2 linked regions of the Xenopus tropicalis genome follow. The protein of the gene in region 2 interacts with the protein of the main gene of each other region in a biochemical or structural test. Links are inferred from orthologs where the notes say so. Each region holds a gene or a part of one and is shown on either strand. Other genes may lie near its edges. The genes, in order: tlk2 and asf1b.

Region 1 (15,541 bases), on a different chromosome or scaffold from region 2:
AAAAGGGCCTTACATTCTAATCTCCCAGCCTCTGAAATAGGCAGAGAGAAAGGTCAGTATCAACTAAACTACCACTGCGTTTTTTTCTGTGCAGCCCCTGGTACATTAAACTATACAGGGAGCACATAAGCTCCCACAGATCACTTACCTGGGTATATAAAAAGCAAAAGCTTAGACCTGCAAAGCAACAATACTAAACACTGTACCTCAAAAAAACAAACAAACCCTATAATAAATTACTATTTCTAGGCTGTATTGTAAACTGTGACTCTAGCAGTGGCCCATATGAGTACTGCAGATACCAATGTTAGGTAAGGTAAAAGAATTTTCAGGAGATGTGTCACCCTCGGGTAGCCTAGATTCCCTGTTGGTGACAAATTTCCTTGTGTGCAGCCCAATAATATCATTAACCTTAAGTTAATGCCAACCCAAATCTTCTAGGAATTCAAATCAAGCACAGTAGAAAAGAAAAACAATATCAGGACATAGAATTGCTCACCTCAAGTTCTTTGTCACTCAGAGAACCCAAACTGCAAAGACTTTGGTTGGAGGATTCACTGTTTAAAGGAGCCTTTAAAGTAAAGCAAGAAAAGCTGTAATAATAATAATTACAATAACAATGGTACTATTGGGTCTATGTTAAACATCATTACATGCAACTCAAAGTCCAATGGATAAGAACTGTACTATACTAAGTGCACAAAGCCTAAAAGAGCAAGCTAGACAATGATATATATATATATTTATATATACACACACAAAATATACACTATAAACATATACAAATTCAGCTTTTAATAAGTTAGAAAAATTATTAGGATAAACTAGACTCAAGGAAAGTACAATGTTTACAACTCCAACGTCAGAAGAAACAAGACAGCTGCATAAAGGAACAAACTCTGTGAAGGCCTGTCTACATGGAAATAAGTTAGACTTTTACTATCAAGTTTGTCTCTCCTTACTTACTCAGCCAACAAAAGTTAAAATACCCTTTGTCTTACTGGGAAGATTCTGATCACAGTTAGGAAATCCACTCAGCTAAAACGTGGTTTCAAACTCTGGCATCTACTGGCAACTAGAACATCATACCTACCTTTGCAACACCTACCCCTGTGAACCGTGCTTCCAACAATTCCTGGCGCCTTGGATCCAGACTATGCAACTCTTCCATCATTTCCACTGTAAAGACATAAATAGAGAACACTATTTATTGTGAGTGCAATACACATTATTATTAAGACAGTTTCACACACATTTTGAAAACAAAGGAAATACCCAAAACTGATTAAGAAATGTTTTTATGGAAGCAATAAGGCACGCACAGTCAGAAATAAGGTACAGAAGAAGGCATCTTTTTAAGAGCATAAACATACATGCTAGAACACTTAAATACCAGAAAATGTTTCAGTAGGAGCTGTGTTGTCAATTAACATGGCATTTGCCCTTCTATGTACTTCCTAACTTGACCTTGATTTAAGATCAGTACTTTCTTCTACTTTAAAATTTGCCAAGGTCTTCCTCACTCCACAACCAATTTTAAATGTGCAACCTGCTCCCCTCCTCAACCTAGTTTATCCCAGTATGGATGTTAGGAAAACAGGAGCCAGTTGCACTAGAACAATGATTTAGAGTGATTTAAATGAAATAAACATATGCGGGTATATTCAGACATGCTGGGCAGTCAGGTGGTGAACAGCGTGTTGGCATGCTAGTCCCCAAAACTTTACACTAATTTCCCTTAACCTGTCAGTATGACAGACTGCCCCACTAGGCATCAATGTGACTCCCTCATGTCCCTGTAGCCTCATGTGTTGTGCTGCCAATGTATATAGGATGGTATGCTTTCCCCCCAAACTACCCATGGTGGGTTCAACAGCAATCGTCTCAGCTGGTATCTGCCTATATAGCAGACTGCTGGCACCCACAAAGTGCTGTTTTTCAGTAACAGGGTATTAATGACTGTTTTAGTCAAAACACCCATGTGCCAGTGGCCTTAGCAGCTGGGAAAATTTGACTCAGCTGACAGGACCACCATCAGCCAGCAACCTGATAGTAACCTGGGACCTATGTGGGGGGCCACTCTGAATTTCTGTTTAAAAACTGAAGACACTTTCAAATTAATTTATTAAACATAGTAGTAAATTGTTAACCCTCAGATTTACCAATTTAGCAGGAATTCAGATATACATTCAGATGTACAAAATTGATTGAGGAAATAAATTCCCAGCCCCTTACTTATAATCTGCTTTTATTTCACTACAAAGTTATAGTTAGAAAATGAATGCCTAATACACTATTACGTTACAGCATGCTTAGTACTGCAGCAAGTGGGCATAATAACAACAGAGGTCAAATAAGTGAAATATAAAGCAGAAACAAAGCACAAGAGCAGAAATTATACAACCCTGAACTAGATGGAAACAAGGATTTAGCTCAAGTTAGGAAAAGAAAATTGCTTTATCAACATTAATGGGGCATGAGGCAAGGAACTACATTTTCTATTATAAAATACAGGTATGGAATGCCTTATTCAGAAATCAGTCATCCAAAAAGCTTCAAATCACTAGAAGGCCATTTCACACAGAGTCCATTTTAAGCAAATTCTAATTTTTCAAAATGACTTACTTTTTCTATAAAAGTAAAATAACACCTTGACCTTGATCCCAACTAAGCTGCATGACTCTACATTTTTGCTCACAATGTCTGGTAGATAAAATAATTAAGCACAGCAAGGCCCCCAAGAAAATTCCTTTTACAATTGACACCTTTATTAAAAAACTGTAAAAAAAAAAAAAACTAAAAAAAAACTAAAAATGTACAAAATGGTTTAAGACAATGTATTTGGCCTTTGTTACAAAATTGGCACTTACTACACAGACTAAATTGAATCCTGTAACGGAATTGGAGGATTGAGGGAGAGGGGACTACCTTATGCCGTCTCTATCAGACTGCATGCTGCCACACTGGCACAAAGCCTCACATCTATATCACACAGAATAATAAAAAAGGGCTCAACCCTCAGTGTGACTATGGCAAGAGCCCTCCATGATTAGCACCTCCCCCCACCTTTAACTGTAAATCAATGTGGACAAAGCCTCTTTTTTTGACAGCGGAAACCACATGTGAAAATGCACACATTTCATTTATTTCACATGCACTGCTTTCCTCCTCGCATTCCTATTAGGGAATATGTGAATAAGTTCTTTCTCTCCCCCCCCCCCCTTCACTACCCTGAGCTGTGACTATATTGTTTTGCTGTCTCTCTCCAGGAGCAGACTCCATTTTACCTCTGCCTAACAGCTGCTACCAAAGAGAAGTGAGGGAAACTTATAGCCAGCCCTGGATCCTGGCTACTTTTCTTCCTCTCTGTAATATCTGTCCTTCCACACAAGTCCACTTGCTCAGTTGTGCTGCACTAATATAAATTAAATATCCATGCTCGTATGTATGAGGTTTCACACGGTGCAGGTAGTGATTTAAAGAAGTAAACAAGAACATTAAAATGGAAGCAGGCTAAATGCCAAAAGGCAGGAGCGTGGCCCCAGACCAGAGCGGCTCCTTATACTCTACATGAATGGCTAGAAGGGCTGTATGAAAGATGATAATATATAGGTGATTAAAGTGGATGTAAATCCAAAAATAAAATGTTGGCAAAAGAAAATTCAATTCTAAGCAACTTTTCAATATACTTGAAGTACAATGTATCCTTTTCTGCCCTGGTGGTTTTGACTTTTTAAACAATGTAGGACAAACAAGCTAATTAAAAGATCCAGGAAGAAGCATGCAAAGCTGACTTTTGCTACATTGTTTAACCTAGCAGCACTTTCAATTCAAATTGTATTTTAATCGTCATTTTCTATTATTTGGCAAAAGTTTTATTTTTGGGTTTACATCTCTCATAACAAGCACTTTTGATGTAATAATGAATAGGGTGATCAAACCTCCAATGCGGAGGTTGATCTGTGGCTTATTTAGGGCGGCGAACAGATTTATATGCAGTTACTAATGTTCATCCCTCTAATTAGCAGTACGCAGGTCTCTGTATAATGAGCTGCTCCTTATAGGTCAAAGGCTAATAAAGGCCACAAGCTTAGGGTCTGTTTATACAGCACTCATTATCTCCCTTTGAACAAATTACCCAGCTTGCAGTGGGAAAGGGCGAGAGTATGAAAAACAAAAAGATTTCCATTAGCATTTATAATTGCAAAAATTTTTTTTTTTTTTAGTTAAAAGAATAGGCAATATACATTTTTTGCAAACGTTTTATTTTTTACACTAACTTTCATAGTTACATAGCAAAGTGTTCTCAGGTGTATATTGCCCCTGTCATGGCAAAACCTCAGTTCCTTTGATGTACCCCAGAAAGTACATTTCTTACTGTAAGTGCAGTTTTGAATAAACTAAGAAATGTACTTTCTGGGGTACATCAAAGCAACATGACAAAATAAGTGTTTCAACCACTCATCTGCCAGCCAGTTCCATGCCAAATTAGCTGGCAACATGCGTTCACAATATATTTTGTTTATGGGCCCACAAGAATAAAAATTACATGCCACCCCACCTCAAAAGATTGCACAAGTTTCTAAAAGCAAGCACATGAATTTAGTGTTTTGGCCTTTATGGTAGGGCTCTCTCCTTCACTGCATACCTTTGCCACCCTCTCTGATTTAAAAGCCTTATGCACATGAGGATATGGAATCTAACTGCACATCCAATGGAAAACAAAGGGCACTCAAATATTGTGTGGTTCAGTTTAATTATCTGGCATAATCTTGAGTAATCTCCACTGTGCTGATTAATAAACTAATCTAGAATCTGGCTGTATTTTAAAAATCCCAAATGTGTTAATTTCAATCAAATTTATGAGGAAAAATGATTCTCAAATATTAGCAGTAATTTAATCTAGGGATGCACCGAATCCAGGATTCGGTTTGGTATTCGGCCAAATCAAATCCGCTTACATGTAACACTTCCAAATTCGGATTCAGTTCGGTATTCTGCAGAATCCCTTACGGTCGATTCGGGGGTTCGGCCAAAGCCGAAAAATTGGATTCGGTGCATCTCTAATTAAATTGAATCCCAGCATTCCATGCAGTCAGGTGACATCTTGAAAAAAAACTATTGGCGAAAAGAAAAAATAGCCAACATCCACTGATTTTCTATGATATGTTAGTAGATCTGAGCTATAAGTTTATGTCAATGTGTGGTAAAAAAAATCAATACATTGGTCAAAAGGTCTATGGATGCATTCTTACAGTCTATAAAGCCTTCCAGATATGAATAGTATGCAGTCCTTTTGTATATGTTACAATGATTGTATCTGGACCTGCTTTAATTGGTGAAATGCTGTACAAAAAGATGGTGAAATAACTCTTAAAACCAAACATATGGTTAACTTATGAGTGCCAATCTATAACTAGTCACACTGGAAAACATCCCAAAATAGTCTGTAAAACACTAAAAAATCAACCTTGTAAATTACATAAGGGAGCTTTCAATTACCCAGAGTAATGCCACCTCAAGTGCCACAGCTTTAACCTCAGTAGTGACATTCTGAAAAATCATCTTCACTATTTAGCAACTATCAATAGACTGCAGTTTAAAAAAAAATACTATGAGCCAGCCATGCTCATTCACAGACAGTCATCAAGAGAGCAACAACCACCTTAGCTTATACTTGTTGGATGGGTGCTCAAGCAGCTAAAACCCTTTCCAGGGGTAACAGAACATATATAAAGAATGATGCTGTGGCACTTCCATTTGCAAAGGTGAAAAAGGTGAATGAGTGCTGCAGCATCATTCTTTATATATGCTCACTCACAGACAAACTGTATACAGGTATGGGGTCAATTATCCAGAAACCCATGATCCAGAGAGTGCCGAATTATCCATTATAAGCAAATAATTTTAAAATTTGAAAAAGACTCCCTTTTTCTTAGTAATAATAAAACTGTACTTGAAGTTGCATGAATCCATATATGTGGTAAAACAGTCCTATTGGCTTTATTTACTGTTTATTATTTTTGCAGACTAACGGTGGCTATACACGTTAAGATTTATCTTTCTCTAATGGCCAATTTTAGTGCAATCCAACAAATCTGTCAAATAATCATAAGGTTGGTGGGCACCGAACAATAGACCATCTAGTGATTTTTTATCTGAAAAACAATCGAGCAGGTTTGAAAATTTTCTTCATCAACAATTACATTTATCCATTGTCCAACTGTTTGCAAGGCCAAACTGGCAGCTACTCACAGTTTTCCTAGCTTCAACCAGACAATATCGTATTTTGGATGATAGATCCTATACCTATATATACAGTGAAGGAATTCTATGTCCAAACAATATTATGTGGCCTCATCCTTTATATTTTATAAGCTAAGCTACACAGATAACAGAGTGGTGTTGACAACAGGAATCAAACTGACCACAAAAGAACCTGACAATGGCAAGCAATGGTACAGGCTATACGAACAACTGGATGATTCATCACACTAAAGGTGGCCATACACGTAGCAATAACGAGTCACCCAAAAGATTGTTCCCACCCTCCACTGACATTCAGGGCTGAATAGTCAGATATGGAGGTAGAAACAATTATAATTCTACCGATGGTCGCACGAAACATCGTCAGATCGCCACGTGTATGGCCAGCTATAGACGGGGGATTAGTCGTCCTCGACAAATCTCCCCTATATACCATCCCACTGGCTTGAATGTAAATCGCCGGTGGGATGGCATATGCGGCGCCGCAAATTTCCGAAATCGCGGAAGTTGCCTTGAGTGTGGCTGCTCAAGCCATCTGTCTTTGTAGTTTCATCCCAATATAGAAGATTGTCCCCACTGGGCCACTGTATATATTTGTTCCTACTTTATATACTGTATGTTTCTGAGTGCAGACTACAAAGTGGCAATGAAGAAGGGAAGTAAAAATTACTACAATCCTTTCACATTGAAGTTGGCACTTGAATAATGTTATGTGGGCATTAAATGTAAATTTGGGACTGCATTTCTATATTGCTATGTGTATTTGTTAAACATCGATTGATACTTTTTCTTATTACGCAAAATGATAGACACACTATTTTAACTATGGTAGATCTATTGACGGAGGCTAGGTGGCAAGAGTAGATCAGAGAGTGACAAAGTCTGGACACCCCTGCTTTACATTAACAAAGTTTGGGATGAACATTAAATATGCTCTGTAGTGATGAATAGACAGCACAGCGGCTACCATGACTACCTTGCAGTGCTGGGGTCCTACATTTAATTCAAGAGCCAAGGCACTAGCTTCCTTTGTCTATGTGGGTTTCCTCTCCCACACTCCAAACACCGACAGGCAGCTTAAATGGTCTCCTGATAAAACTGACCGTACCCATATATGCATGTAATCTTACTGGGGCAGGAATTGATGGGAATTTGATAGGGACCCTGGATTGTAAGCTCCAATAGGCCAGGGACTAATGGGAATGTGATAGGGACCTTGGATTGTAAGTTCCAATGGGCCAGGGACTAATGGGAATGTGATAGGGACCTTAGATTGTAAGCTCCACTGGGGCAGGGACTGATGGGAATGTGATAGGGACCTTAGATTGTAAGCTCACTGGGGCAGGGACTGATGGGAATGTGATAGGGACCTTGGATTGTAAGCTCCACTGGGGCAGGGACTGATAGGAATGTGATAGGGACCTTAGATTGTAAGCTCACTGGGGCAGGGACTGATAAACTGGCACTTATACTGTAATGTCACCCACTGTGACCTATAGCACTTATATTTGCCTATTTGTGTCTGTTAGTTACCCTCCCATATAGATTGTAAGCTCTACGGGGCAGGGACCTCCTTCATCTTGTGTTTCTGACTCTTATTGCAACTGTACCTTGTATTTATTTGTATTTATTGTTGTACTTTGTATTTATCCATTATCTTTAACCCCCCTGTCTGTATTAATGAATTCTACTGTACAGCGCTGCGTACATAAGTAGCGCTTTATAAATAAAGATATACATACATACATACATAGGAATGTGATAGGGACCTTGGATTGTAAGCTCCACTGGGGCAGGGACTGATGGGAATGTGATAGGGACCTTGGATTGTAAGCTCCACTGGGGCAGGGACTGACTCCTGGGTTGGGGAGGGTAGTTTTATAGATAGGAAGTGTCTAAGATGCAAAACTTACAGCAGTCCAAAGTGGAAAGTTGCAGTTCAGCAATAACTAGTGGGCTGCAGCCTGAAAATCCCTATTTCTCATACTAGAAACAGTCACTAACAGTCACTAACTTTTAGGTATCACGCCTAGGGTACTTTTACCTATAGGTACTGTCAAGGAACCCCTCTGATGTTGGGGGGCAGAGCAAATACCCTGAACGCAAAGGAAAGGGGATGCTGGGAGTTATAAGGGGGATGCTGGGAGTTATAAAGGGGATGCTGGGAGTTATAAAGGGGATGCTGGGAGTTATAAAGGGGATGCTGGGAGTTATAAAAGGGATGCTGGGAGTTATAAAAGGGATGCTGGGAGTTATAAAGGGATGCTGGGAGTTATAAAAGGGATGCTGGGAGTTATAAAAGGGATGCTGGGAGTTATAAAAGGGATGCTGGGAGTTATAAAGGGATGCTGGGAGTTATAAAGGGATGCTGGGAGTTAGAAGGGGATGCTGGGAGTTATAAAGGGATGCTGGGAGTTATAAAGGGATGCTGGGAGTTAGAAGGGGATGCTGGGAGTTATAAAGGGATGCTGGGAGTTATAAAGGGGATGCTGGGAGTTATAAAGGGGATGCTGGGAGTTATAAAGGGATGCTGGGAGTTATAAAGGGGATGCTGGGAGTTATAAGGGGATGCTGGGAGTTATAAAGGGGATGCTGGGAGTTATAAGGGGATGCTGGGAGTTATAAAGGGAATGCTGGGAGTTATAAGGGGGATGCTGGGAGTTATAAAGGGATGCTGGGAGTTATAAAGGGGATGCTGGGAGTTATAAAGGGGATGCTGGGAGTTATAAAGGGGATGCTGGGAGTTATAAGGGGGATGCTGGGAGTTATAAAGGGGATGCTGGGAGTTATAAAGGGGATGCTGGGAGTTATAAAGGGGATGCTGGGAGTTATAAAGGGGATGCTGGGAGTTAGAAGAGGATGCTGGGAGTTAGAAGGGGCTGCAGGATGCTCGGGTGTAGGCCCTGGGTGTGTATAGGATGCCCGCGGCCCTCCCTCTTTCCCCGAGATGATATTACCTCTCTCCCTCAGTGGATCGGCCCCCGGGTCTTGGGGAGACTTTCGTGCCTCGTCCCCTCGGGGGGGATGGTGATGGCGCTCCTTCCTCTCGCTGCTCGGCTCCCAAGCTTCACACCACTAGGCCGCAAATCCCCGAGCTTTCCTAAGCGCGGAACCCCGCGCCCCACCCTCCTGGCGCCGGCTCGCCTGTCATAGATGGGGCGGGAGGGGGAAGGCGCCCCCCAGTGGTTGTTCCCCCCTTCCCAGGGGGGTGATGGGGATTATAATATTTTTTTAAGTGAGGGGATCGATTATTTTGATTTTTTTACCTCAAAAACCACCGAAATGTTGGGAATATAAGTCAAACTGTGGGAGGGCGGGAGACGTTAGAGAATTTTCTGCTCTTACGGGCCCAGGCCCGCTCCGGAACCACCCGCCCGACTTAACCCGGATCGGCTCGGTTCGGATTATCGGGGGTAATGGGTTTAATTAGTGTAAACACGATAGTGAAACCGCTGGTTTTCTCGCGAGATTCAGTGAAAGAAAGGGGGGGGGCGAGGGCAATTGCGCGTTCACGAGAGGTAAAAAAAGAACCGCGCCAAGTCTACCCAAGCAGGTGGCGCGCAAGGGGTGTAAAGGGGCGGGACCGCGCAAACTTTCCCGCCTCGCAGGGAGTTATGAAACGCACTATACCATTGGCCAACAGGGATCACGTGATAAGAACATTACGCCCCACCCTAAAAGTAAAGCTAGGAAACCGGTTTGCGATTGGACCCAGGAGAGACAGGGGCGGGACGCTGCGAAGCCTCGTTTCGCGAGAACTCAAAATATAGGAAGAAGAGAGTAATGAGTGGCCGAGATACAGCACGTGTGAGTTGCCGGCCCCACCCACTCAGGAAGGGCGGGTCTGCAGGCAGGGAATGGTGCTGATTGGGTACTGTGGGTGTGGCCAGCAGAATGGCCCACTGTCATTGCCTTACTTTTGCAGAAATTGGGCCAATCAGAAGCAAGCAGACAAGTGCTGCTTGAAAACCTCACTTGCAGACACGTGTAGACAGTCTAAACTTGCTTGTGCATCTTATACTAATTAATAAAACCCGTTCCTGTAAACACAACAAAGGATGTGCTAAATACTTGTGTATATGGATATGTGTCTTGTGACATATAATTTTCCATATATGCTGTATATATATATTATATTATATATATTTTTTTTTAAATATACAATATATTTATATAAATACATTCAGGGGTATAGTTATCATGCTATGTAAAAAGTGGAGTGAAGCATAACCGGTGATGTTGCCCAGGGCAACGAATCAGCAATTAGATTTCAACAGCTAAAGCAAAGCATCTGATTGGCTTTCCGCGGGACAGTCCCGGTTTTGGTAGCACGTCCCGCTGTCCCGGATAGTTCCATTTCCGTAATGCGGGACATTCATGTAACTATCCCGACAGCGGGACGCGTTGGCTGTAGTCAGGCGTTCCCATACCGCCCAACTGTCCCGCTTTCTGCGGGACAGTACCGGTTTTGGCAGCGCGTCCCGCTGTCCCGGATAGTTCCATAAATGTCCCGCATTTCCGTAATGCGGGACATTCATGGAACTATCCCGACAGCGGGACGCGCTGGCTGCACGTTAGTCCTCCTCTTCAGCGTCTCCTCTATATGCGGCTCCTTCGGCGGAGCCAGGCCTTTTATAAGGTTGCGCCCGTGCGTATTGACGTCACACGCACGCACGGGCGCAACCTTATAAAAGGCCTGGCTCCGCCGAACAAGGAGCCGCATATAGAGGAGACGCTGAAGAGGAGGACTAACGTGCAGCCAGCAGCATGTATGGAGGCTCTGTATGGGGGCACCTGTGTATGGGGGGGCTACTCTGTATGGGGGCACCTGTGTATGGGGGGGCTACTCTGTATGGGGGCACCTGTGTATGGGGGGGATACTCTGTATGGGGGGCACCTGTGTATGGGGGGGCACCTGTGTATGGGGGGGATACTCTGTATGGGGGGGCACCTGTGTATGGGGGGGGATACTCTGTATGGGGGGGGATACTCTGTATGGGGGGGATACTCTGTATGGGGGGCACCTGTGTATGGGGGGGCACCTGTGAATGGGGGGGGCTACTCTGTATGGGGGGCACCTGTGTATGGCGGGGCTAATGTGTGGGGGGGGCACCTGTGTATGGGGGGGGCAAAACTGGTACATAGTTATAACTCACGTATAACTTAGGTAGTACAGTATGAGGGTATAGCACATTTGCGTCTGATCCCGCCATTTCAACTATATAAAAGGAGTTTTTTGTTTTTTTTTAAAGGGTGTGGTAATTGGGGCGTGGCCACACAAGGGGGCGTGGTCAAAAAAATTGCCGAATGTTGGGAGGTATGCGTTCCCCAGTGGCTCCTCTCTATATGTGGCTCCTTGTTCTGTGGAGCCAGATCCTTTTATAAGGTTGCGCCCGTGCGTATGACACTGCACGCACGCATGTACGGGCGCAACCTTATAAAAGGACCTGGCTCCGCCGAACAAGGAGCCACATATAGAGAGGGAACGCTGAAGAAGAAGCTGCAGCATGTATGGAGGCACTGTATGGAGGCACTGTATGGGGGGCACCTGTGTATGGGGGCACCTGTGTATGGGGGACACTGTGGGGGGGCTACTCTGTATGGGGGGGCACCTGTGTATGGGGGGGCACCTGTGTATGGGGGCTAATGTGTATGGGGGACACTGTGTGGGGGGGGCTACTGTGTATGGGGGGCTACTGTGTATGGGGACACTGTGTGGGGGGGGCTACTGTGTATGGGGGGGCTACTGTGTATGGGGGACACTGTGGGGGGGCTACTCTGTATGGGGGGGCACCTGTGTATAGGGGGCTACTGTGTATAGGGGGACACTGTGTATGGGGGGACACTGTGTATGGGGGGGTACTGTGTATGGGGGGCTACTGTGTATGGGGGCACTGTGTATGGGGGGGCAAAACTGGTACATAGTTATAACTCACTTATAACTGACTGCCTTCTCTCTATATTTGTATTTTATATGTAGGAGTTGCTATATTGTTTTCCTTAGGTAGTACAGTATGAGGGTATAGCACATTTGCATCTGATCCCGCCATTTCATCTATATAAAAGGAGTATTTTTTTTAAAAATGGGGAGTGGCAATTGGGGCGTGGCCACACAAAGTGGGCGTGGTCAGGAAATTTGGCGCACTGCGCGCGCCAAGTCTTTTTGTCCCTCTTTTCATTTTTCAAATGTTGGGAGGTATGATATGTCTTATATATCTTTTGCAATAGAAGTGTGCATATAAGCAGGAGCCTTATGCAGGGGGTTATCTGTGCACTGGAAAGTGGAACTGGAAGTAAGACACATGAAGTTACAGAAAATTCATAAAAAACATGTTTAGCATAGCTTTGTAGACAGTAATAGTTTGCAGTAGAAAGATGTGTTTACCCATTCTTTTTAATTAGAATGTGGACTTACACATACTGGGTGCTTATACTGCAGCAGCCAGTGTCAGGCGTAAAAATTCAAATGCACTGTTTTCATTTGGGTGCCTCTATAGTTTGATAAATCTATGCACTGGGCATCAAGCTGTTCAGTAGGCATTCATATTTAGAATGTTTTGTGTTGGTACGTTATGAAATATGGGGTACAGAATGAAGTAAATTGCAAGCTTTGAGACAATTTTCAGAAATTAATTAAAAATTGCCTCATTTAACTTAACTTTGCTGTTTGGTGCTTTGTTCTACAAAGGCATATTTGTATATATGATGTCTGGGGTCAACTTAATTATTTCCCACTTTTACAACACATAAATTAGGTGGTGTATTTTTTGGTATTAGAAATATATGCCATGAAATATGTGTGCACAAACCTCACTTTGAGGTCTCTAATTGCTAGATACCTTGGTGACCCTATGCACAATGGGCATCAAACTGTTCACTGGATCCTTGGCTTATATATTTAGGGTGCTTTTATTGCCAATTTTGGGAAAGCATTGCAACTGTAGTTTGGAGTAGAAATACATGAGAGCCCATTTTGAATTCATCCAAATGTGTACTTTCCAAAAATATATGATTTTTTTTTTTGGGGGGGGGGGGTCAATGTATTTTTTTGGTTTCCTACCCCGCAACAAATGGCATCATGTGTTGAGTTGTCAGTAGCTGAAATGATCTCCAAGGCAATTTGTATATATAGGTATAGGTATGGGTCTCTAAATGCCAGATGCTTTGGTAATCATATGCACAATGGGCATTAAACTGTTCAGTATGTAGCAGAAATACATAAGTACCAATTTTTGATTAGAGCTCTAAATCTTATTCCAGAAGTCGAAATACACAGACTGTGTATATAAAAACGCAGATTTCGAAGAAAACAATATATAGTTTCCCTTTCCTAAACTACCCCTCCAATTAAATGACCCTAAAATGAGAGAGCATAAAATGTTCTGGCACTGAGCATAACATGTGAAATTCTGCTGGTACTTAAAGGGTTAATGCATTGTGCTGCTGTACTATACCACTATTATATATATCAAAAAAATAAAAGGAAAACAAAAATAAGACATTCTAGATCTGAATGAATGAAATATTCTTATTAAATACTTTGTTCTTTACATAGTTGAATGTGCTGACAACAAAATCACACAAAATGTATCAATGGAAATCAAATTAACCAACCCACAGAGGTCTGGATTTGGAGTCACACTCAAAATGAAAGTGGAAAAAAACACTACAGGCTCAGTAGTGTGTGTGGCCCCCACGTGCCTGTATGGCCTCCCTACAACGCCTGGGCATTCTCCTGATGAGGTAGCGGATAGTCTCCTGAGGGATCTCTTCCCAGACCTGGACTAAAGCATCCACCAACTCCTAGACAGTCTGTGGTGCAACGTGGCGTTGGTGGATGGAGCGAGACATGATGTAGGAAAAATATTTACACCAGCACACCCTTACCTCCTCCAGAGAATTACTACTTGGTGCACAGCCTAGAGAGTCGGCACTCTTCACACAGTCCGGTCAAAATATTTCAGCCAGCACAACAAGTAAAGTGCAAGCAGGGCTTAGCCCTTGCGTGTTTATTCAAAATGCAATGTTTCGGGGGCGTACCCCTTCGTCAGGTATTGCATTTTGAATAAACACGCAAGGGCTAAGCCCTGCTTGCACTTTACTTGTGCTGGCTGAAATATTTTGGCGAGACATGATGTCCCAGATGTGCTCAATTGGATCCAGGTCTGGGGAACGGACGGGCCAGTCCATAGCATCAATGCCTTCGTCTTGCAAGAACTGCTGATACACTCCAGCCACTCCAGCATTGTCTTTCATTAGGGGGAACCCAGGGCCAACCAGCATATGGTCTCACAAGGGGTCTGAGAATCTCATCTCAGTACCTAATGGCAGTCAGGCTACCTCTGGCGGGCACATGAAGGGCTGTGCTGCCCCCCAAATAAGTGCCACCCCACACCATTACTGACCCACTGCCAAACCAGTCATGCTGGAGGATGTTGCAGGCAGCAGAACATTCTCCCCAGCGTCTCCAGACTCTGTCACGTCTGTCACGTGCTCAGTGTGAACCTGCTTTCATCTGTGAAGAGCACAGGGCGCCAGTGGCGAATTTGCCAATCTTGGTGTTCTCTGGCAAATGCCAAACATCCTGCATGGTGTTGGGCTGTAAGCACAACCCCCACCTGTGGACGTTGGGCCCTCATACCACCCTCATGGAGTCTGTTTCTGACCGTTTGAGCAGACACATGCACATTTGTAGCCCGCTGGAGGTCATTTTGCAGGGCTCTAGCACTGCTCCTCCTGTTCCTCCTTGCACAAAGGCAGAGGTAGTGGTCCTGCTGCTGGGTTGTTGCCCTCCTACGGCCTCCTCCACATCTCCTGATGTACTGGCCTGTCTCCTGGTAGCACCTCCATGCTCTGGACACTACGCTGACAGACACAGCAAACCTTCTTGCCACAGCTCGCATTGATGTGCCATCCTGGATGAGCTGCACTACCTGAGCCATTTGTGTGGGTTGTAGACTCCATCTCATGCTACCACTAGAGTGAAAGCACCGCCAGCATTCAGATTGACCAAAACATCAGCCAGAAAGCATTGGAACTGAGAAGTGGTCTGTGGTTACCAACTGCACAACCACTCCTTTATTGGGGATGTCTTGCTAATTGCCTATAATTTCCACCTGTTGTCTATTCCATTTGCACAACAGCATGTGAAATTGATTGTCAATCAGTGTTGCTACCTAAGTGGACAGTTTGATTTCACAGAAGTGTACCTTGGAGTTACATTGTGTTGTTTAAGTGTTCCCTTTAATTTTTGAGCAGTGTATATATATATATA
Region 2 (15,463 bases):
TAAATCATTTTGGGGTTGTACGCTGATTAAACAGAATGTAAAATCCCTTCTGGAGAAGATCTGGATTCAGATGCAGGTTCATGGTCACATGGGTCTCCAATATGATCCTCTAGTTCAGGGATCCCCTACCTTTTACTCAGGAGCCACACAAGTATAGAGAGAGCTCTTTGGGGATGCCAAATAAGCCCCGTGTGGCCTGCAGGAAGCTTTGTTTGGAGTAAAACGGTCTCTGTGCTCCCAATTTTTGCCGCCAAGCAACATCAAAGTGGGTGGTGAGCAACATGTTACTCATGAGTCACTAGTTGGGGATCACAGCTCTAGTAAGTACAAGTGGACAATGCTCTGCAAATTTACTCTCAAGCACTCCCAAAAAAATTGGCTCTATATACTTATAAGAATGTGAATTCATTACAGGTCAACTGCTTTGGCAGAGGCCACACCAACAACAATAAATGGCTTCCCATATGGTTGCTACACCCTTGTGTAAAGGTGGCCATACACACTAAGACCTGCTCGCTTGGCGAGGTCACCAAGCGAGCGGTCTTCTCCCGATATCCCCACATACGGGTGGGCGATATCGGGGAAAATGTAGGCTAATTCGATCGTTTGGCCCTGTGCAACGGGCAAATCTAAATCTTTTAACCTGTCCGATCAATATCTGGCCAATTTCAGGCCAGATATCGGTCGGGCAGGGCCCTCGTTCCTGCCCCATACATGGGCCGATAAGCTGCTGAATCGGTCCAAGGGACAGATATCGGCAGCTACAATCGGCCTGTGTATGGGGACCTTAAAACCACCTTTATGCGGTCAGTCTTCCAGGTGGTTTACTACTGCGCCCTGCTCAGTAATACATATAATGTGGGCAATAAAGTTACCATCAGAATTCAAGTTCACAGTTGTTTGCTCTAAGTGCTTTTATTTAAGCAAATTCCTACTCACATATATATATAATAATTTTTTAAAAAAACACATAGGAAATTAATGGCCATCAACCATTTACATCCAGCTAAGGCAGCTGAACAAAAATACAAAACAAGAGAGGCTCCTGGAGTTTGGGGAGGACTCATATCTATTGCCTCCTCCCCCTTATTTGTGGGGCTGGGGATCCCCAAATATCTCAAGACCTTGAGATAGTAATTTATTTCGGCTGGAAAGCCACAGTCCGTAATATTTAGAGGAAAAAAAACAAAAGAAACCAAAACAAAAACAGTCTGTTGCAGTGGCTGCGGGGTCCACAGCCATGCTTGCAATTTCCTGGAGAACACTAGAGCAATCCTGCTCATTTATGTACCTGTCCGGTAGATAAAGATTCCTAGCATGTTGGGTGCAAGAAAATGTGCCAGTTCATGCAAGACCATTTTTGCAATTAGGCTAAATTCTATGCCTTATCTTGCATTTCCCAAAGACAAACCGGCTTCAAACAAGTTACCAGCAATGGCTCACAAAGCCGATGTTTATCTAAGGTCAGTGACAGCATGATTAATTAGCACCAGGCAGCAGAGAGATTTAATTGCAGGAAATGAAGTCTCTTCCTCGCTGAATGTACCGACATGCCTCAGTAGAGGAGGTGGCAATAATGCGACGGGCAAAAGGTACCCACGGAAGCTATAAACTGATGCTGTTAGGGACTCCAGGGCCACTACATTCAGCTCAGAGCCTTACTTTTACAGGCTCAAAGAAAAGAAAAAAAGGAGACAAAGATAGCAGTGTGAAAGAATGAAGTGTAACAAAATGTTTAAATGGATGGGCCTTGGTAGCTTTGGAAATATAAAACACTGAAACATTAAAAGGTTGGAAGTTTTCAGTTGAAATAATATACTGCTGAGCGAAAGGCGGGAAGATCTGTCTCGTTACGAGAGGAAGACTGCTTTTGTGTAAAAAAAAAAAAAAATCCTACTAATTGGTGAGTGGAACTACCGGCAAGCTAGACACTCTGGAGCGACAGAAGTGTTAAGTTGGCAGTGATTGTAGAGTGCTCACAGGAAGCCGAGACTGTTGTGGTAGAGAGTTTGTGGCAGTTTCCCTTGCTGCAGCCCATATTGCCCCTCTGTTACTGCTATCACATACAGTCCATGGAATTCTCTGGGATTGGGTTAAGTGCAGCTGCAAGACCCTTAGACGGGGCACAGTTAGGAGGCAACATTGCATTAGAGGCAGGGTCCACGTTTTCAATGTCTTCCATCTTTGCCTCGCTCGCGCATTCCCAGTTGATGTGAAAGCGTGTGACGCGTGGGTTTGATGCCAGGATGTTTCTCTGAAGCTGTAGATAGATCAAAAAAAAAAAAAAAAAATTGGACAAATGGTCATCTAAACCAGAGTGGCAAGCAGGCCAACACCAAAACCTGCAAGATGCCACAAGCAGTTTGTGGGCCTAACTTTTCCCAGGGACCTCCCAATTGGTGGTATCAGTCCCAGCCCCCCTGGCTGCTGGGTTCCTGGTTCACTTCAATAATAGTCTTAGTTATCCAGGCAGGAATGATGGCTACAGGTGCTCCCTTTATTTACCAACACCTGTTTTGAATCTGTAATTATCTAGGCTTTGAATTCCTACCTCCTAGTTTCTCCCATGCCTGTTATAAGTCTACCTACCATAGTTCCTGGGTACGCATTTTGTCCTGTCTTGTTCTGACCCCGGCCTGTATCCTGACTGAGTTAATTCTCCCTGTTTGACTCTGCTTCTGGATCCAGATTGTGTACTGCGCTACCATTCAGGTTTTGACCCGGCCTGCCTGATTTGGATTCTTGTAAGCTCCCTCTCACCTTAAGACCTGGCGGCACCCGAGTAGTGGAGGGCTCAACCCGAAGCCAAAGGTGGGCGTTATAGGCAGAAGTGTGAGCTATGACCGGGACCCTTGTTCTGGGTTACCGATCTTGACAATACTAATCAAAAAGCCTTACATACACAGACACACAAGTTATGTAAATACCTGGCCGAAATGTGGTTTGAGAGGTGGGTTCTCCCGTAGCTCTGGATCAGAATACTCATTGTTTACATAATATCCAACTCTGATAAACTCCTGACCACGGTACGTGCAAGTAATCAACACTACAGTCACTCCTACAGCGTCGGACTCGGGGATAAGGCTGGAATTGGGAGCATCTGCCTGCATAGGAAGAGAGAAATTTACTATAGGTGCTCAATCTAAAAATATAAAACAAAGAAAAAAATCCTCCATATCAGTCCATGGTAAGTCAATTAAGATGTATTAATAAGACTTCACGTCAATCTGATCTAATGCAAGACTCTGTAAATAAGCAAGATAGGAGACAAATGGAATGTCAGCTCTTTGACACTCACTTGAAAGACGAACATGTGGCGGCCGGCGGGGACAGGTCCCACCAAGACAGAATCCAGCACCTGATCATATTCTTCACTCTCAGCAGATCCCACATAGATGATCTTCCATTCCAGATCTAATGAGACAGTGCATAGCATACAATAAATGTGACAATACTGCTGGCGAATAACCACCCATATAACCCGATTAATGCATTCAATAAAGTTTTGCTTGTCTGGTTTAAAACCAAGGAGCATATGGGGGGGGGGGGGGGGGGGGAGAATCTGCCAGACTTCTCACTGAACACCCACTTGTACCAACTACAAAGTAGAGGAGCAGCAGTGAAGGGGTAAATGCATATTTTAGGCATAAAGACAAAAACCGTAAACATATTTTCAGTTTATCAATAATTGAAGACATGCAATGTATTTTTTTTTTTATCTAAAAGCAATAGCTGGAAAAACCATCAAAGTAATTGATAATTAGAATAGCCTAAGCTGAAACAGCACGCATACCATCATATACTGTATGTGACATCTGCAGTGACCAAGCTGCCCAGAGTGTAACCATTAAAACTGGGGATGTTCTTGAAACCTTAACATTGCCCACCACAAACTGCACTGTGAGAACTGATCTTTAGGAGCCCTATCTGACTGCTTGCCCCAGTACTGCATTATTATACATGCACACATACATGGGAGCTTTTTTCTGACTACAATGGCATCTAATTATGTAGGAGCATTGGTTTTTCACATGAAATAAAAATGTAATTCATTCATTCATTCATTGTGCTCATTTTCACTGCTGGGCTCAATACTGGCCATTTGAGCTCTGACACCACAATTGTCAAAAATATATAAATGCATAACAGGGATGCACTGAATTCAAGGTGTCAACCAAAACCACAGCCATTTTTGCAGGATTCAGTTAGGTCGAAACCTTTAGAGAGCAGTGATCCCCAACCAGTAGCTCGTGAGCAACATGTTGCTCTCCAGTCCCTTGGATGTTGCTCCCAGTGGCCTCAAAGCAGATGTTTATTTTTGAATTCCTGGCTTTTGGCCAAGTTTTGGTTGCATAAATACCATATGTACTGCCAAACAGAGCCTCATGTAGGCTGCCAGTCCACACAGGGCCTACCAAATAGCCAATCAGAGCCCCTATTTGTAACCCCAGGAAGATGTTTCATGCTTGTGTTGCTCTCCAACTCTTTTTACATTTGAATGTGGCTCACAGGTAAAAAAGGTTGGGGAACCCTGCTTTAGAGCAATGTTTTAATATTTAGCTGTACAAGGAAAGGGACAAGCCCTTGCAAATGTTATTGTAGAAGTGCAACGTTTCAGGACAAAGAATGCCTTTCTCAACCCAATTTGCCTTGAAAAGTTGCACTTCCGCAATAACATTTGCAAGGGCTTGTCCTGCTATTTGCCAGCGCTCATTTCTTTCCTTGAGTTGAGGGGTGGTCGAGTGGAGGGTGCCGAGGGAGCCTCAAACTCTATCGCTGGAGAGCCAGGGGGGGTGCAAGTGACAAACTCTCCTATCATGTCAAAATGTATCTGACAGATTTTCAGCGGTTTTCAACTTACTTGTAAATGTAATTGCTATTGAAGCAGCAAGTGTCTCTTGATATTCTCAACCAATGTCAGACTGGGGTGTCAGGGGCCCACCAGGGCCCCCCACCTCAAGGCAGCTCCTACCCCCCTCGCATCAACCCTAACACATCTGCTCCCAATCCACAGATCCATATATATTTATAGATCCACGCCTTTCCAATCTCCGACATCACAGAGGGGTCAGAGCAGGCGCGTGCTCAAGGCAGTCTAAGAGCTCGCCCTGAACCCGTCTGCAACCCACTTCTGCTGTGCCAATGTCGGCCAGAACCTGTGGGTCCGAGCCAGCCTGCACATCACTTTGCAGAAGGTGTTGGCTTTTACAAGAGTTTCAATAGTCAGAACAAGGTACTGCCTTCAATAGCTATTACTTTTACAACTATTAAAAAGTTGCTTAGATGTATATTTTTTTTTTTATGAGGCAAAATTGTATTATATTATTTTTACAATCCCCATAAAGGGGTGGTTCACCTTTACTTTAACTTTTAATATGTTACAGAATGTCCTATTCCTAGCAACTTTGCAGTTCATCATCATCATCATTTATTTTGTATAGCTTTTGTATTCTTTGCTTTTCTATTCTACATCTTAAAAGCTTTCAAATGGGGTTCAATGAACTTGGGGCAGCCAACTATTGCTCTGAGGGCTCACAACTGATCTTATATATTTGTTACTTTTTATTCCTTAGCTTTCTATTGAACCCCTTTCCTTTTTATACTCCAGTCTCTCATTTAACCATTGCCTGGTTACTAAGGTAAACAAGTTGCTAGCAAACAGAGAGCTGCTGAAATTCTAAACTGGAGAGCATGTGAACCCAGCTAAATAACCAAAAACCACTGTGCAAATTGTCCCAGAATATCAATGTCTATGTCATACTAAAAGTTAGTTTAAAGGTGAACAACAACCTTTAATATATACCCACCCACTCAAACCTGCCCGATCGAGATCTAGCCAATTTCAGGCCCAATGTCGGTCGGTTAGGCCCGTTGTTCGTGCCCATACACAGGCAGATAAGCTGCCAAATCAGTGTAAAGGACAGATATCGGCAGCTAGAACAGGACCATGTATGGCCATCTTAAATCTCCCATGTTGGGAACATCTAAAAAGGCATGCTTGATGAGAATAACAGTCACTCACCATCTGGCAGGTCCTCTATGCATTCAAAAGTAATTTCAAATTGGAAAGGGTTGTGGAAGGGGCAGGGGTTATCCAGCACGACCATGTTGAGAATCTGTACTTTTGCCATGATGCCTCCCAAGCTGTAAATGCCAGCGATGTTATGTCACTAGGGCTAAAAGAGATGTAACACGTGTTTACAATCAAACAGGAAGAGAGAGACCTATAAAATCTGGTCATTAATTTTTTTGCAAGGGTTAAATAGGTTACTAGAAACAAATAGGAAATAAGTTTGAAAATCAGCAGTTCCTAAAGAAAAGCATTTCAAGAGCATATATCTTTAAGTGAAAAGGTATGGCAGTCTTTCTGTGAGAAACTGCATTCTGAATTGCATTTCTGGCACTTATTATACTCTGTACTTGCCCTTCTCTAACAGAAATACAAGAAGCCTATGTGTGTGTAAGGGTGAAGACACACTGAGCTACTAGTAGCAGCTATTTTTAATGGCAACTAAACTCCAGAAAATCCCCTGACATAGACAATACTGAGAATTGCCTCTGCTAACACACAGACTATCAGTAAATGATCAGCATTGTCTATTTTAGTAGCCACGACAAGTTGCTGCAACTAGTAGCTCTGTGTGTCTTCACCCTTACACTGCACAAACCCTTTCCTTAGCCTCTATTCCCCCCCATTCATCCTGATATCTGAAAGTCAATTAGAAATAAGCTCGGCTGTGCACCCCACAAATCAGTCGCTGGATTTCCCAGTTTGCTCAACAGGGGACTCCTCTCTATTCCGCTCAATATCCTCTTCACTCCTTGGAATCAGTCGCAGACACATTACAGTGAGATCCTGCCATGCATCGAGTCAATCATTTCTGCATTTAGACGAACACCGAATTTAAAATATGGGAAAAATTCAAACCACGTCACCTTCCATAAACTAAAAACACATGTCACACTTAGCTGCCCAAAGCTTTAAAGGCACACAACTAAGGGGTTGAATGAACACCTAGGGGTATATTTATCATGCTGTGTAAAGAGTGGAGTGAAACATTACCAGTGATGTTGCTCATAGCAGCCAATCAGATGTTTTGCTTTGGTTTTCTAACTGTTGAAATCTAATTGCTGATTGGTTGCCCTGGGCAACATCACCGGTAATGCTTCACTTCACTTTTTACACAGCATGATAAATATTCCCCCAAGTATTTAGCTGAATCCTGCAAAAGGTGCCTGGATTTGGCCAACTCCTGAACTGAGCGTTTCTCTAGTAGGAAGCAATGGCACGGGAAGTTTTAATGCTGCCCAATAGCCGTCTGTTTGCGCTGCCGGCAGTGCTGTTCCCACTGTTCTGTCAGGTTAACAGACAATTCTATGATGTCTCCTACTCAAGCCTTGTTATCATATTACAGCATGCATTACATGTTCAGATCCCCCCCATTACAAGGTAGAGTTACTGGTGTATGCATATTATAGCAACAAAGGGAAGCCCTGTGGGTACGATATACTGTGAAATGACCCCAATGACCAGCCACATTCAACTCGCTACAGGCAGTGGGACAGTTACTTCTTATAGCACATGTCTGAGGGCCAATGGGGCCTTTGGGAGGAGCGTGGGGGGCACATAGATCCCTTAAGGTGGCCATACACGCACCGATAATATCGTACGAAACCTCGTTTCGTATGATATTCAGTGCGTGTATGGTATGTCGGCGAGTCGACCGATATCGCAGGAAGCTGCTGATATCGGCCGACTCGCCGACCGGACCAGTTTGAAAATTTTATGGCGCCTGACCAAAATCTCCCTTCAGCTCTGAATCGGCAGAAGGAGGTAGAAATCCTATTGTTTCTACCTCCTTACCTGCCGATTCAGCCCTGAATAGTGTGTGGCGGATCTGACGATGTTTCGTGCGACCGATGGTTGAACGAAACATCGTCAGATCGCCACGTGTATGGCCAGCTTTAAGGTGGCCACACACGTGGCGATCTGCGATCTTTTGTGCAACCATCGGTCGCAGGAAAGATTGTCAGATCCGCCACTAACCTTCAGCGCTGAAACTGCAGGTAAGGAGGTAGAAACAATTGGATTTCTACCTCCTTCTGCTGATTCAGCGCCGAAGGGAGATTTTGGTCAGGCGCCTTCTATGGCCCCCGATCAAAATCTTCTGACGTTGCTGGTCGGCGAGTCGACAGATATCAGCAGCTTCCTGCGATACCGGTCGACTCGCCGACTTGCCATAAACGCACTGAATTTCGTACGAAACCAGGTTTCGTACGATGTTATTGGTGCGTCTATGGCCAGCTTTAGATCTGGCCCACGGGCCCCAACTTGGCTACTGCCAACATGAGCCCCAATACTAACAATGGGATCCCCTAAATATGCTACTCACATTCCAATGAAAGCAATGTTAACCGAAGTAGCAATTATTTCTATATAGGTGTCACACTGGGCTCAGACAGGACTTTCATCCAATAACCGGTTACAGGAGGAGGCTCACAATAATAATAGTAACAGGTTATTATAAGCACCAACACATACTGCAGAGCTGTACAAAGCCATAACTAAGTATCCCTATCAGTTAGTTATCCCTATCAGTTAGTTATCCCTATCAGTTAGTTATCCCTATCAGTTAGTTATCCCTATCAGTTAGTTATCCCTATCAGTTAGTTACCCCTATCAGTTAGTTACCCCTATCAGGCAGCCCCCAGGGCTGAACTACAACTCCCAGCAGCCACAGACACACAGAAGCTTAACAGAAATAAAGTGCAAGCCTTTATGCCAACTAGTGATACAATTTGTATGTTGAGCATTAAACTATTTTCGGATGTTGGCCAAGTGCAAGACTGAGGGCTCCCTATACAAGTATATTCCTATATAAGTTATAGGCACACATTAGCCACGCCCCTGTGAGTAAACACGTACAGGGAAATGGGGATTATGGACACACAGGTAGGGACTATTAGTTCAGCCTGTGGCCCCCGAGTTAATATTCTACAGAGACTTGTAGTTCACCAGCAAGGTGGGCATGGGGGGAGTAAGAGTGGGCTGACAGCCCGGAGTAGAAAGGAAACAGCACTCACCTGTTGTGGCGTCTCCTCCTTCCCCGGTATGCCCGGCTGTACCGCTCCGTCCCACACAACCGTCACAAACAGCCCGCTCCTTCTTTCCCGCCCTCCGTTTTGTCTCCCGCGCCTCGCTTACAACCTCACTCCAAACGCGCCCCCCAGCCCCGCCCCCTCTGAGCCGCAAGCCCCTCCCTCTCACCGTCAAGCAACAACCAATGACGCTTCTGGATAGTGTGAAACGCATAATCACCCCCTATCTATGCAAGCCTGTAAACAGGGGTATAATGGCTCTCCCCCACGTACAGCCGAGTCTGCCTTACCAAACCAGTACATTAAACGGATTCGCTTCCTACGTCTAAAAGCCGTTCGAAGTCGTTGCCAGCATTAAAGATGGCCGCTGATTCTACCAGCTTTGGTCACATGGTCGGGGCTTGTCAGTAGCTCTCACGTTTGATTGGAGCACGGTGTTTGCTTCCCGCGCCGTTTGACGTTCGTTCCCGCGTCGGGCATTATCTTCCGGCTTAGGCTGACGCAACTTCCGGATAGGCAGGTATTGCGCGGGAAGTAAGAATGCGTGGGGTAGGTAATGGGGCGCTGATAAATACCATGACGCACTTGTGAAGCTGGGGTGTAACGGAACCGGAAACAGACTAGGGGCGGCCGAGTAGGGTACTTACTGGTAAACATTTTCCTGCCATATATTTGTTTTGTTGCACTAAACCATTATTTACACCTTAAGCATTTTTTCTGGATAAAAAAAATACAGGCTTTCATTTATTTGTGTGCATATTCCCTATTAATAAGGTTGGCATCAAGCATCATTTTTACTGCTTAGGTGGCAACCTTGCTTCAGCAGTGTGGGCAGTATATGTATTTATACTGGGAACTGGCACTTATATTGAAGTGTCACCCACTGTGACCTACAGCACTTACATTTGCCTATTTGTGTCTGTAAGTTACCCCTCCCATATAGATTGTAAGCTCTACGGGGCAGGGACCTCCTTCCTCTTGTGTCCTCGACTCTTATCTTATTGCAACTGTATCTTGTATTTATCTGTATTTATTGTTATACTGTGTATTTATCTATTATCTTAATAACCCCCTGTTTGTATTAATGTATTCTACTGTACAGCACTGCGTACATAAGTAGCACTTTATAAAGATATACATACATACAGAAACAAAGGCTGCGCTATAAAGTTTTATATTTCTATCAGGCTTGTTTAACCCCCCCCCCCCCAGCCTCTGTAGGGAATTCTGGGAATTGCTGTGCAACAAAATGATAGAAGGAACGCAAGATGGCTGTTAGAGGCGGATGTAACCGCCTCAGCCTTTATAGGCGCTCACGCCATAATTCATCGTTTCTAATGCTGTGTGAGAGGGAAATGGCTCTGCTATGTCTAGTCAAGGATTAAAGGGGACCTGTCACCCTAAGAAATAAGTCCAAATTGTTTTCTATATTGTTAGTTGAGCAAAATAAACTGTACTTACTCTATATAAATAATATACATTTTGTTTCCTTCCGTCTTGGAATTTCTCAATCAAAGCAAGCAGGCAGGCGCCATTTTGTGGACCGTGTTATGAAGGCAAGCTTTGTATCACCCCAAAATCTTGTTTATGTGACTGACTGGGGGACCAGATGCCCATGCACTGGCTACACAGTTAGGTGAGGAGGAGGGAGGGGAGAAGTTAGATGTGCAGTGACATCTAGGTAGTGCTGAATGGAAAGCTAAAGTTATTGTCTGCACCACCTCTATGACTAAGGCATTTTATGCCCCCAACACCCTCAGAATATTGTAGCCTGAGCTGGACAAAGTGGTATTTCTCTGAAGCACTGTTTATAACATGGGCCAGTCTGTACTTGTGGATATTTGAGACACTGGCCCTGGAAGGATGTACACTGCGGAGCATGACATGGAAAGGGAAAAGCAAGAGAGGGAAGACAGGAGAGAATAACAAAAGGGGTTAAGGAAAGGTGCAGATAATAGCTTATGTGGGGTAGGGAAGAGAATGGCAGATAGAAAGAGGTTGGAAGATGGACACAAAGGATTGTGGAGTGAGGTGTAAGAGTAGGGTTAAAGTTACAGAAGGAAGGCAAGAAGGGATACAGTTGGACTGATAAATGTTCAGGGAATGGGATATGAGGTAAAAGACTAGGAAGGGGTGTGTTAATAATGGGAGAAGAAACATGGTATAGAGAAAAGGTAAAATTCTAGTACAACCTCAGGGCTTTATTTATATATCTTTGGATGTGATGGGCAGTGAACCCTTAAGGCAAGGACTAGCTATTTGACAAGTCAGGATAGGCAGAAGCAGGATGGAAAGGGTTAAAAGACCGAAACAGGCAAGAGCAAGGGGAACAAGAACTAGGGACAAGCTGTCAGAGGTCGATGCTCAGGCAAGAAAGTGAGGTCAAAGAAGGGTTCAAATAAGTCGGCTCTGACCAATAAAGCTGCTGGGTTGTGATGGAACAGCATGATGAAAACTTGAGAATAAATATGGATGAGATTAAATCAGAGATACAAGAACTCCCCAGCTGCTCTCCTGGCCTAATGGTTAAGGAGGATGGCTGCAAACCTATGGGTTCTTGTCCCATATCCTAGCCAGTCTTAATAATTATTTACTCCCTTGCTATGAAACACCTAAAGAATAATCTGCATCCAATTGCCTTTAGCAGCTACTTAATTGGCTGAAAAGTATACCCATGTTTAAAGTCTGGCATCCCATAATATTGCATATTGTTTTTTAACACTTTGTTAAAATATATATATATAAAAACAAACGTCATGATGGCCAAGGATGACAACAAGTCTGGAGGAGCAGAAAAAAAAATCCTAAACTTTAAACAAAAAAAAGACTGATCAAATTATTATAACAATGGAAGGAATATTAGAAAACCACAGATATTTGGTGACCTAGATGTAACCCAAGAGTCTAAAGGCAACTCTGCTTGATAGAACCATCCATGGTACATCCATAACCTGGATTCTCTATAATGTTTTGATGAGTAGAACACCATGTGGAAAAAATATATCAAGGCCTGTTAGAGTTTGCCCAAAATCATGTGGGAGCAGGGTCACCATCAGATATCACAGGCCCCTCCAGCATTGTCTTCTGCGCCTCCGGCCTTCCCGGGCAATGCCTCTGCACTTCTGACTGCACGCAAAAGAAGACAGACCCTTTTATAAGGTTGCTCCCCGTTTGTACTGACATCACACATACCCACGGGGCACGACCAATTGGATTACCCGCTGACCACCCATGTCAGGGTCCAGAATTGATTAAAGGGGGCCTGAGCTACTAAGAAAGCTGTAACACAGCCAGGCCCCCTTTTAAAGGGAAAATTGCAGCTGTGCCCCCCTGATGGCGGCCCTGTGTGGGGGAGACAGAAAATGTGGGACAATGTTCTTTGCTTTCATGAGAACAACCCTTTAGCCTGAGCCCAAAATGCTGTGAGTGCCAGAAAGCCAACACCCTCCAAACAGCAGCCCCAAGGTTTGGCATTGTGGTGGTAGCTTCATGTTGTCTCAATGCTTTTCTGTGTGTAACCTGAGACTGGGATAGAGAGACCCCAAACACAGAGCCAAAGCTACGGTGAATGTCTGAGATTGGCTCATTTAAACCCAGGCATCAATCCAGTTAAGAATTTAGGACAAAACTTGAAATTGTTGGTTCGCCAACTGTCCCTGTTCAACCGGCAGAGCTTGAGCAATTTGGGCATCAGAATGTAATCAAATGCGAGAAGCCAAAACATGATTCAGATCTTTTTATTGTCAACCGTTATCTCAACCGTATAAGAAACCATATAAGAAACTTACACAGTGGGACAAAATTGTTGCATTTCAAGCCTCAGAAGGACAATACACAACACAAAGTGAATACTGTGCATACAAACAGCAATGTAATGTGCAAATCAATACAATTCCAATTTTCCAGTGTGTCACCATAGCATATAATCATGTTATTTTAATTCTGTTTCCAATTCAGTTTTCAGCCTTGTGTGTTATTATAATAAAGTACATATATTACTGTGCAATCATACAATTTCAAGCCAAATGCTGCAATATCGTTTTACAGATGACAATAAAGCAAAAAGATTATAGAGAGGATGTAAAGGATCAGCCACAATGCTTGATATCTTTCTTAAACAACGTCATTTAAAAACATGATCAATTGGTGCTGGGAAAGGCCGTGTGTAATACTTCTTACCCCAAGCTGAGAGAGAAAGCACAGGGAGCTAGAGATGTAAGACGCTGGCGGGAGGGTTAATTCACATATATAATGGCGTTGCTGGTTCTGGAGAGCTGGGGAAGGGGAAGAGTTCATGAAACAATACAGAGCTGAAGTTGCCCGACTACAGCGTTCAGAATGCTTCAACCCTTAATAATACATTACAGCAGAGATCCCAAACCTTTTATACCCATGAACCATATTCAAATGGAGCAAAGTTTTGGAGAACAACACAAGCATGAAAAATGTTCCTAGGGGTGCTAATGAGAGCTATAATTGGCTATTTGGTAGCCCCTATGTTGACCTTAAGCCTACAGAAGGTTCTGTGTGGCAATTTCACTGGGTTTTATGCAACCAAAACTTGTCTCCTAACCAGAAATTCAAAAATAAGCAACTACTTTGAGGCTACAGGGAGCAACATCCAAAGGGGTTGGTGAACATGTTGCCCCTGAGCCACTGGTTGGGGATCACTGCATTCAGGTATACAGGGTTTGTAGTCTGCCAACAACTGAGTAAAGTGGGGTTGGGAAATAGTGTATAGCAATGATCCCCAACCAGTGACTCAGGGGCAACATGTTGCTCCCCAACCCCCCTGGATGTTGCTCTCAGTGCCCCCAAACCAAGGAGTTATTTTTGAATTCCTGACTTGGGGGCAAGTTTTGGTTGAATAAAAACAAGATTTACTACCAAATAAAGCCCCTGTAAGCTGATAGTGTGCATAGAGGCCCCTAATAGCCAATCTTAGCCCTTATTTGGCTCCTCCGTGAACTTTTATGGTGCTTGTGTTGCTTCCCAAGTCTTTTTACATTTGACTGTGGCTCCTGAGTAACAAAGATTGGGGACCCTTGCTGTATAGCTATCTTCTTGCGCTTGGTCAGCTAGTAATTTGATCTCTAACTCCTGATCTGGGTTAGTCTCTCCCCGCTTTCTATAGTTCTGAACAGAAATAAATATTTCACAGCAGTTTAAAAGGGGTAGTTCAATTTTAGGGTAACGTTTAGTATGTGCAATTGGTCTTCACCAGAAACTGCCCCTAACAATAAGCTAACCCGTTTTTGTACAGTACATATTCTGACAAATTCAGAATTGGTAAATATATTTCTAAACCAACCTACCAAACTGGAGATCTCTGCTAAAATTAGTACTTTTTATGAAGCGTCCAAATATTGATTAAAAACTTGCATTTAAAGCATCTCCCATGTTTATGGGTACAAATCGTGCCATGTTCTGAACAGTTTGATGCCCAATGTGCATGATTTACCCAACTATGTGGTACACAGAGACCCTAAAATATGTATAGTTCATACAGAGTTTTATGGCTCACATTTCAGCCACCATGCAAAGTGCAATTTTGAGTTGTAAAATACTGGAAATATATTCTAATCCATTTGGCATCACTTTGCCACTCGCCATCAAAACTGCCCAAAAGGCCAACCTCCATTGCATAGTAGGCCATGCCCCTGTTTTCTTCAGCGTGCTACACGTGACATAAGATTAATATACTATTTGAGCAACCACGCTCCTGCCAATTTTTGATATTGACATTGCATATTTGCACTATATGTTCCCCTCAGGTGACGCCCAATAATTTTGTATAGTTTTTGAATTATTTGCTTTTCTCTTCTGCCTCTTTCCAGCTTTCAAATGGAGGTCACTTTCCCCTGGCAGCCAGTCTCTTATTCAAACCAATGCCTGGTTGCTAGGGAAAATAACACCCCAACAACCAGACAGCTATTGAAATGGAGAGCTGCTAAGCAAAAGCTAAATAAATGATAGTTCTTATAGCACTTTATAGCTTTATTGGCAGACAAGCCAGCTAGGAAGGATGCTTTGAGTGAAATGTTGTATAAATGTCACAATAATATCTTCTAATTGTGATTGTTTTTGCAGGGAGAGAGGGACGTGGTGTGACACTGAGAACCACCATGAATGGCTAGGAGAAGAGGAGCAGGAGTGCCATGTCAGTCTTTTCATTGTGCGACAGTACATTCAAATTCATGTGTGGTAGGGAGCTACTAAGTAAAACAAGTTATTGAAACTCAAACCCATTGCTAATCTCTATTTCCATTTTTCATTTTGTTGCGTGTCTCTGTACTTTTTTATTAAAAGTCGCTTAAAGGAAAACTATACCCCCAAACAATGTAGGTCTCTATATAAATATACT

Evidence for each region.
Region 1: of the proteins of asf1b (region 2) and tlk2, one has a biochemical effect on the other in vitro, tested with the Homo sapiens proteins (3 studies listed by BioGRID). The link is inferred for Xenopus tropicalis from reciprocal best matches to the Homo sapiens genes ASF1B and TLK2.

Annotation. Positions count from the first base shown.
Region 1 is NC_030686.2:15,287,015-15,302,555, forward strand, and holds the start of tlk2 (serine/threonine-protein kinase tousled-like 2), read right to left. Parts: upstream 9,405-15,541; 5' UTR 9,225-9,404; intron 1,180-9,224; 5' UTR 1,175-1,179; coding exon 1,094-1,174; intron 572-1,093; coding exon 500-571; intron 1-499. UniProt on the Homo sapiens protein: Serine/threonine-protein kinase involved in the process of chromatin assembly and probably also DNA replication, transcription, repair, and chromosome segregation. Phosphorylates the chromatin assembly factors ASF1A and ASF1B.
Region 2 is NC_030679.2:134,220,958-134,236,420, forward strand, and holds asf1b (histone chaperone asf1b), read right to left. Parts: upstream 9,134-15,463; 5' UTR 9,085-9,133; intron 6,177-9,084; 5' UTR 6,132-6,176; coding exon 6,023-6,131; intron 3,415-6,022; coding exon 3,299-3,414; intron 3,105-3,298; coding exon 2,928-3,104; intron 2,261-2,927; coding exon 2,060-2,260; 3' UTR 900-2,059; downstream 1-899. UniProt on the Homo sapiens protein: Histone chaperone that facilitates histone deposition and histone exchange and removal during nucleosome assembly and disassembly. Cooperates with chromatin assembly factor 1 (CAF-1) to promote replication-dependent chromatin assembly.